Linked DNA regions of Nothobranchius furzeri. The protein of the gene in region 1 interacts with the protein of each later gene in a biochemical or structural test. Links are inferred from orthologs where the notes say so. Each region holds a gene or a part of one and is shown on either strand. Other genes may lie near its edges. The genes, in order: nid1a and fibulin-1.

Region 1 (4,514 bases):
GCTTTTAATACACTTAAACAGAAGAGTGAGAAAAACATTCACCCCCCTCAGAGTTGTCATGAGTGTAAACTAGATCATTTAAACCTAAAACATGTTCTTGTACCAGGCTGTAAACATGTTTATTTCTGCTGTGAAATTGGTATTTTTAACATGGGAGTCAATGAGGATTTGCTCGCTTCTGACACCAGCCCCTAGTGGATGAGGGTGGAACTGCAATTTTTTGTCACTTCCGCGTTGGACTCAATTTTTCACCCGAATTGTGGGGGCTTGGTTGTACAGCATCTTGGTGGCATGCTCATGCCTGTAAGGTGCTTTATAGATAAAGGCTGAGTGAGTGAGTGAGTGAGTGAGTGAGTGAGTGAGTGAGTCTGTGATAAGTGCTATATAAATAAAATGTATTTATTTACTTTAAAGAAGCCTGAGCGGGGGATGGGTGAGCGTAGCCAGCATCCCTGAAACGACTCATTCTGGAAGGGTCTGAAAATATCAAAAATCAAACTACTGAAATAGCTTAATGTGAGGGTGTTGAATGCCAAAAAAACTATAATAACTTAAGGAAAGACAGTCTACATTTGCCCTTTTTAAAGTGGCTGTCTGTGTTATTTATTTTATCTGATGGCTGATAACCGTATCACAACATCACCTAGTTTTCATTTCTGTATTTAGCAACATCTCTTGCTCATGAATGTGCTCCTCTAGCCAACAAAACAGAGCTAAAACACTTTGTTTTACAAATATTATGCTCATGTCATGTTGTGTATTCATATTTAAGACTTACTTGTCCATGAGAAAATCACCATCTCTGCACCAACCGAGGTACATCCAACGCTCGAGCATGCTCTGTGATTGACGTATGTGCATAAGCGGTAAAGCTACTGGCTGGTGCTGACTGACCCTCAGTTCAGTTTGCATGGAGCTCTATGGGACGGGGGTGGGCTTAGCAAAATGTCATTATTTTTCTTCAAACTTACAAGGAGCCACTTCAGAGGGGCCAAAGAGCCACATGTGGCTCCAGAGCTGCAGGCACCTGATCTACTGCAATAAGAAGAAAACGTTTAGACATAAAGTTTTGGATGAAAATTAAATAAAGAACAAAAGTTATGTTTTAACATCTGTTCCCTTGGATAGCACAATAACATTTATGGAACACGGAGGTGAAATAAGGTGCATGGAAATCTTTAACACTAAATTAGAAAGAACCTGGATGTTGATCTAAGCAAGGAGAAGCCAGAGTATGGATTTTGTTTTTGGACCCATTGGTTTCCTCTGTCCTGACATTGTGGCCCGAGACCCAAGTGTTGGATGGATGACTGATCATCCCCTACTGGGTCAGAAACTGCCTGGCCCTCGTTATCCCAGCTGGGGTTGAGTTTGATAGCTGCAGAGTAATTAATGCGTCTTTTACAGAATGTTTCTGGTCCATGATGCTCTGGTGGTCTTGGCTCTTCTCCAAAGCTGCTGTCACGGCTCCAGTATGTCCCCTCAGCGACCCAGCCTCTCCCAGGAGAGGGCGGTGTTGCGAAACACTGGATGGTCATTTTAGTCCTAAATTTTAATAAGTGAATTTTCAGGTTTAAATGAGATCTTCGGCCACGTACTAAAGCGAAGATTTTTAGCCCAGACGTCCCCCAGCGTGAAACCAAAATCCAGATGAAATGCTTTAGGAAAGTCTTACAGAGAGGATCTCCCCGCCCATGCATAAGACCCTCTCCATGAGCAGTTCCTCTCACTCCCTCTTAACCCCGTTCATCCAGAAGGAGAGCAACATGGGCTGGCAGAACCAAGGATGGCTCTTCTCTGCGAGTTTAGTGGTTTTTTGGGCCTCGGTGCGGAGCATACGGCGGGAGGAGTTTTTTCCCTTCGGCCCAAGCGCTGGAGACCAGTTACTGGAGTCCGGGGATGACCAGACATTCCGACTAACTCTCAGCAAGCCAGTGCTCTTCTATGATGGCTCGTTCGACAGCCTTTATGTAAGTCATTTAATTTGCTGCCGTATAAATAAAAAACCGTATAAAACGCGCGGGATTTTCTGGTGCGTCTGGGCTCCTTTTTGGTTATTTTTTTTTTTGCGTAATTGCGCACAAAGCAAACGGAGCGGGATAAGAAAGAAAAAGATAAACAATATAAGTCTAGTCTGTTGTATAGTCTCTGCTGATGTGCTGATTTAGTGGATTGTTTGTGTTGTCAAAATACAAAACAATCCTGATGTTTAATGTTTTTCCAAGGACGCAGAAGTTCTGGCCTTCATCTCATCGGAGGTCTTCACCATTAGTTGCTTGTAAAAGGAAATGAACCGTTATGCAGAACAAACAGGTCCTTCATTCCATGTGTTTCCAGTTTCCCTACATCTTTGTTTTAATTGTGCAGCATGTGGACAATGCGCATCAGCTATTTGTTTAATTCGAACTTTTATGTTAATTTTAAACATTTATTAGATTTCTCTATTTTTGAGCTTATTACATGGCTTTTCCCTTTTTTTCATCGACTTAAATATTTCAGATCAACAAACAAATGTGAAATATCAGTCAAAGATGAACCTGGTAAATTAAACATGCAGCTATTAAGTGATGATTTTATTTGGGGAAGTGTCCAAACCCCAGCCTGGTCTTGCCTCTCTTTTTAAATCATGATTTTACTGTAATTAATTACATTATTTGGAAAGATGCCACGCCCACATCTAACTACCAGACCTTAAAAAAAGAAGTCCAACCTGTCTGGCAGTATGTAGAAGGTTAAAAGATCTCAAAAAGCAACACATCATTGTGCCCTGTTCTAAAGCAAACCAAGAACAAAAGAACCCAGAACCACCTCACCAGCACTACAGTCCAGGGGCAAAATGGCAACTGTGGGAGAATTTCAAGACCAAAGGCTCTGACCAACATAAAGATCTGTCCCACATTTACCAAAACATAAAACATGTTAAAGGGGCAATATGTAAGAATGAAAAAAGAATGATGTCCTGTGGTCAAATTTGGGGACTGCAGGCCATTTTTCTAAGCCAATAGTTAAATATTGAACTCCCATCAGTTGTCACACACACTGGTGTGTGGTGAAATCTGTCCTCCATGTTTGACCCATCCCTGTGGGGGTGCAGTGAGCTGCAGACACGCCCATGCATGGGAACTATTTGGTGGATTAACCCCTTAAAGCTGTCCATCAAGCGAGGAGGGATTAGACGCAGGGGCGGATTTAGGACTGAAGAAGATCCGGGGCTTAACACACACACGCGCACACAAGCGCGCACACACACACACGTGACACGCACTAGTCAACATCATATATATATGTCTTGTACCACATAATTTTTAATCTGAAGCTACATATGAAGCATTTTCAGGGCAGAGTATTGTTCCTGTTAGTGTTTAGTGTGAGATGATAGTAAATATTCTCGTTCTTTCTCCAACATCTTTACCTGATAAGCTAACTTTAGGCAAACCAGCAGCACAACAAATATTTTCAAATTAGACTCACAAACCTGAGTCAGCACCAGTCTCATCAAAGCTGGGGTTCTGTCGCCGTACTTTTGGTCTAAAAACGTCCTTATGTCCATCTTCACTCATGCGTTTCAGACAGAGAGTGTAGAAGAAGCCGGCTGCTGAAGGGCTTCTTCTTCAGTGGTGGAGGCTCAGGCAGGCTGTATACAAACTACTGCCAGCTGCTCCCTCTCTGTTGGACTTTGGTACTGCATGTTACTTCCGCGATTTAGATCCGGGGCTTTTCATAAAACATCCAGGGCTTCAGCCCAAGTAGCCGGCGTAACACCGCCCCTGGTTAGATGATTGATTTAAAGTCTTTTGTATGACCCGACTGGGATTTGAACCCCAATAGTCCCTGCACAGACACTCATACCACTAGGCCACTGAGCTGGAGTTGCTTTCTCGCTACAGTTCCTTGGCTATGGCCAGTTACGGATCAGCAGTAAAAGATTCTAGATGAGAAGCGAAAACTCATATACTGTAAGGTGCAAAGTAGAGAAATACATTGTTCTATCTGGTGTTAGCACTCTTGGGTATTTTATGGTAGGGAGCGCTTACTAAACGTATTACGGTAATATGTCTAGATCGGCACAGACTTAGCAACCTCACAGGCTCACGGACTGTAAACAGGATCTACGTCCCTCTTTTGTTTTGTTGAAAGGAGAAAAATCAAGAACCACTCAGCTGAGAATGAAATCTGTTTGAATGTAACCTTCCTTCCACCATGACTGAAGCCTAATTTATACTTCTCCATCTGCGTTGGAACAGAGACACACAACGCCATTGTGCGTTGGTGCAAGAGCTCTCCGACGGGCTCGCAGAGGGTGATGGAGACATGCCCCAATTTTTAACTATAAGTGACGGAGACGTGAGCTTGTGTGCCTTCGCCCTGTCAAAAAATAAAAAGATAATTAGCGGCAGACACGGAACAGATTGAAGAACACATCTCGGGAAAAGTATGAAATACATATGAATGTTTATTCACCCGTGGCTGAAGGAGTACAAAGACATGCAGCAAGTGTTTTATTGGTGGACGGC
Region 2 (4,364 bases), on another chromosome or scaffold:
GGACGTTAGTTGGAAAAGTTTCTCTTTCAGTCGTGAACACATTACTGAGCGGCTAGAATCTCCGTTTCTGGGCTTCAATGTCAGAAAACAGCTGAGTGAACTCGGCGCTGAGTGAGAGGAGTGTTTAGTTTGTCCGAGACAGCGGAGCTGCAGACACTGGCAGCAGACGCTGGAAAAAACACAAAGGAGGGGGCGCGTCGGCTCCGCGCTGACACCGCAAAGCATCATGGGAGTGAAGTCTTTGCGGTAAAATCGGCCAGCGGGTCAGTTTTAATGTATTTTTGATATTTATCTCGCGGGCCACATTAAAATGCTCCGCAGGCCAGATGCGGCCTGCGGACCATGTGTCTGACATATGTGTTCTATTTGATCTGGAAGGAACACAAACAAACAAACATGGACAGACCGTGCTACTATAAAAGCAGAGAAGAGCTGCTAAAAAGTTTCAGTTTTCAGAGACAACAGTGCAGCTAAATGGGGACGGCAGTGGCAGAGTAGTTAAGTGCCTGTCTCATAACCGGAAGGTGGTGTGATCGAGTCCCGCTCAGTCTGTCGCAGTTGTGACCTTGGGCAAGACACTTGACCCACTCTGCCTGCTGGTGGTGGTCAGAGGGACCGATGGCACCGGTGTTCGACAGCCACGCTTCTGTCAGTGTGCCCCAGAGCAGCTGTGGCACACACACAACCAGTGTGTGAATGGATGAATGGTTGTGCTGTAAAGTGCCTTGGGGGGTTGTAATACCCTATGGCTCAATGTTCTAGGCTCAACATGTCACATTAATCAGCTAATGAATCCAGAACACCTGCAAAGTGTTCCTGAGCATTTAGAGCCGCGGTGCCCAATCCTGGTCCTGGAGGGCCGGTATCCAGCATGTTTTAGTGGATTCTCTGCTCCAACACGCTTGATTCGGTGGTTGAATCATCCATGCAGCAGCTCATCAAGCTCTGTAGAAGTTAATCTCCTGCTGATTGAAATTAGGTGAGCTGAAACAGGGTTAAACTAAAACATGCTGTATACCGGTCCAAGACCAGGACTGGGCACCCCTGCTTTAGATGGTCTCTCAGTCAAAGTTGAAATAAAAAAACTTTTGCCCCATATTCTAATTTTTCCAGTTTTACCTGCATTAGTATAAATCTGAGGATGTTAGAAAGTGCCTCTCTCCATCAACAGTCTGCTATGGAGACAAAATTCATAAATGTAATTGGGGGCCACACAAAATCGCTCTGAAGACTGTAAATGGCCCTCAGACCACCGTTTGGACACACCTGACCTACAGCAACACTTTTTGATGTTTTTTCATTCTGAGTTTTACTAATATGACGTCATTTTAGAGGAGTGCAAATAAATAAATCACAATAAACTACATTGTGTATTTAAAAACAAATAAAGCAAAGAAATATAAGCTGTACGATGTTGGCTCTTATCTTGAAAAGTTTGGAAACTCCTGTTCTATATTGTCCCTATAGGGTGTGTGTGTGTGTGTGTGTGTGTGTCTGAGATGAACTGGAGACATGATCATGGTGCCTCCACCCCCATGCCAAATGACTGCTGCAGACAGACACCGGCTCCCTGCGATACTATGAGGAGTCAGCGCTAAAGATAACAGATAGATGAAATGAGAATGGTTTAGGAACGAAGGAAAGGATCCACAAAAAAGTTTTTGTCAGTTTAAACCCCTTGGGGGGGGGGGGGGGGGGTTAGGGGGGGGGGGGGTCTGAACACCTACATCTACTGAGTTGCTCCTCCCTTATAGAGAAGTTCAGAAGTGTGAATTCCTGAGGAATTCCTGCCCTCAGGAACCACACATCCCACCCTCTACTCAGAGAGGTTTGCTGCATCTTTCTGTTCTTCACGAGCGAGCAGCGCACGGGACGGCTACCCTGATCAGTGCAGACTCAACCCCTCCATTGAACCCACATTTTCAGTTACTTCCGTCAGGAAGGAGGTTCAGGGTTCCACTGGACAAGAAAGGTGTCTATAAGACATCGTTTGTTCCCACCGCAATTACAATTTAGAATTCTTAAAGTTTTATTTTTCTACGATAACATTCTAATACCTTTTAAATGTCTTTTTATGTATTTGTGTGAACGCGATATGGATTGTATTGTAAGGTGAGCCATGTCAAAGGCGAATTTCTGCCTCAATTCGAGGTGGACAATAAAGTTCATCGATCTATCTCTTCTTGTGTTTGTGTGAAACGACAAACTTTGGTTCACTTCAGACACAACATTTAATTCTGGCTTGTTTTTAAACCTCTGAGCACTTTGAGATTTAGATTAAGCGCAGCACAACTAAAACTTTAGATTAAGTTGAGACGTTGCTCACCTGCAGATGAGTGAGGTGACACGAGGAAGGAAGGAACAGTCTTGATCCCTCTGTGCGATTGCCCTTCCAACCTCACAGCACTCCTGAACAGAGCTCTCTGGTGCGATAATCACAGATTGGGTTAAGAAGCAGAGCTTGTGTTTTAAATCAAAATAAGATACAGCCTGCAGTTTAACTACCAATCAAATCAATGAAATCAATTCCCAAATAAAGCCTCGTGGAACACAACTTTGCAGGTCCAACGTCCTCACTTACCAAGCCCGTTCAGAAGTCCGCAGAGAGAAAATAAAACAAAACCCCAGAGAGCCATCCGGCTGATTTAGGAGAACGATCCAGACGTTGGTGATCTTCTCTGATGCTGGCTGGAGTGAAAACAGAACATCTCGGTGGAAAATTTTGAGAAGGAGACACAGACGTGTCCGTCGGGGAGGTCCGGGGAGGGCGGTCAGGCTAGGGGTGGGAGCTCTAATGATTAAAACAAATCTGATAAGAGCATTTATTTAAAATCACAGCAGTGTTGAAGTATAAGTAAAATGACCTAGAAGATTAAATAAAACACATTTATCAGCTCAGAGTGTCGCCTTATTCTGTGGCTTTTTTATTTTATAATTTCATCCTGCGACTATTTGAAATTCCCCACAGCAACAATCAAAGTCAGCTGGTAACCCCCGACAACACAGTCGTACGTGACGTGTAACCCTGTTTATTATAAATACAGTAAAGTCGGGTAAAGTGGTGCGTAAACCCGCGGTGTAACGCTGTTTTATAACATGTGTAATTCCCAACAGCATCTAATCAGGATGCAGTCATTTAGGACACAAGCAGTACAACGGGAGCCGATTATGACGTCTCTGCTTTATCTCAGACTGATAGCGAGTAAATCAAGGATTGTTGGTACTGCGGTGAAAACAAGGCTTCGTTGTGATTACTGGGGGGGAGGAGGGACAGGAAAGTTTCAACTGGCAGCACAAAGTTGAGACAAATAACCAAGCAGCTCATTTCTCCTCTGATTTGATCATTATTTACAGCACTTATGGTCCTATTTAACACTATAAATACAAAGAAAATACTATTAAAAACAACTGATTTCCCAACATAACGGCTACTTGGTGTGTTAAAATCTCCGGAGACGTGTTTCATGCACCGCAGCTCCTGAAGAAGACTCAGCCTATGATCTATGAGGTTAGGAGGAGCATTTGCAACTTAAACGAGACGAACGCGGTACGTTTGTGCGCTTCAGTCATCACACGGAGGTTATTTACTCCTTTAGTTGTGCATCTACAGTCTGTCTCATTCTGACACGATCTACGTGCAAACCCAAGTCTGCGGAAGACTTTGATCGGCCATCTTTTCTTCAGTTTCTTCATTTATTCAGGGGCTGACTTATCCTGACAGTCAGGAGGAGCTGCGGTTTTGTCTGTCAGGAGCTCAGGACTCTCCTGTTTTAAAGAGCTGGAAGCGTTTCCATCTTCGGCGTCATTCTCAGCAGAGGGCCGGTGTTCCGCCTGCTCCATCTTTGTGTTCTCTTTTTGCTTTTCCTCCTCAGAAGGAAAACGTCTTTCCTCTAGGCTACCCACAACTTCACTCGTCTCCTTTGATCCCGTCTCGGTCTTGTCTGTGTCCGGCTCCTTGTCGTCTGTTGGGCCTGGGTCCACTTTAGTCCCCTTTTCTGCAGGATTTTGAAGTTTGTTGCATTCAATGTGAGCCGTGCTTTCCTCTGCCGTCTGTTCCTCCTCTTCTTCAATTTCCTCCTCCAAAGGGGGGATCATCTGCTCCTCTCTCCCTCCGGGGAACACCCTGTCTGGGTAGATGAGCTTCAGCTGCTCCTCAAAGTATTCCTCCAGGTACAATCCTGCACTTCCAACCTCAGAAGTCGCCTGGGGGCATTAGGATGGTTTAGAAAACAGATTATAAATAAAAAATAATTTGTAGCTTTTTGCAAAAAGTACAGAAGCACCTACCTTGTAGTACTTAGCACAGTTGAAAAATATAAGCCTGACATCAGCCACAAACCCCTCGGGGCCGCTGTAGCGTTCGC

Evidence for each region.
Region 2: the proteins of nid1a (region 1) and fibulin-1 form a complex in vitro, tested with the Homo sapiens proteins (3 studies listed by BioGRID). The link is inferred for Nothobranchius furzeri from reciprocal best matches to the Homo sapiens genes NID1 and FBLN1.

What each region holds. Positions count from the first base shown.
Region 1 is NC_091752.1:2,240,300-2,244,813, reverse strand, and holds the start of nid1a (nidogen-1), read left to right. Parts: upstream 1-1,598; 5' UTR 1,599-1,694; coding exon 1,695-1,970; intron 1,971-4,514. UniProt on the Homo sapiens protein: Sulfated glycoprotein widely distributed in basement membranes and tightly associated with laminin. Also binds to collagen IV and perlecan. It probably has a role in cell-extracellular matrix interactions.
Region 2 is NC_091741.1:53,756,734-53,761,097, forward strand, and holds the start of fibulin-1, read right to left. Parts: upstream 2,864-4,364; 5' UTR 2,637-2,863; coding exon 2,582-2,636; intron 2,424-2,581; coding exon 2,327-2,423; intron 1-2,326. Other genes in the region: trim24 (transcription intermediary factor 1-alpha), read right to left, coding at 3,694-4,203, 4,288-4,364. UniProt on the Homo sapiens protein: Incorporated into fibronectin-containing matrix fibers. May play a role in cell adhesion and migration along protein fibers within the extracellular matrix (ECM).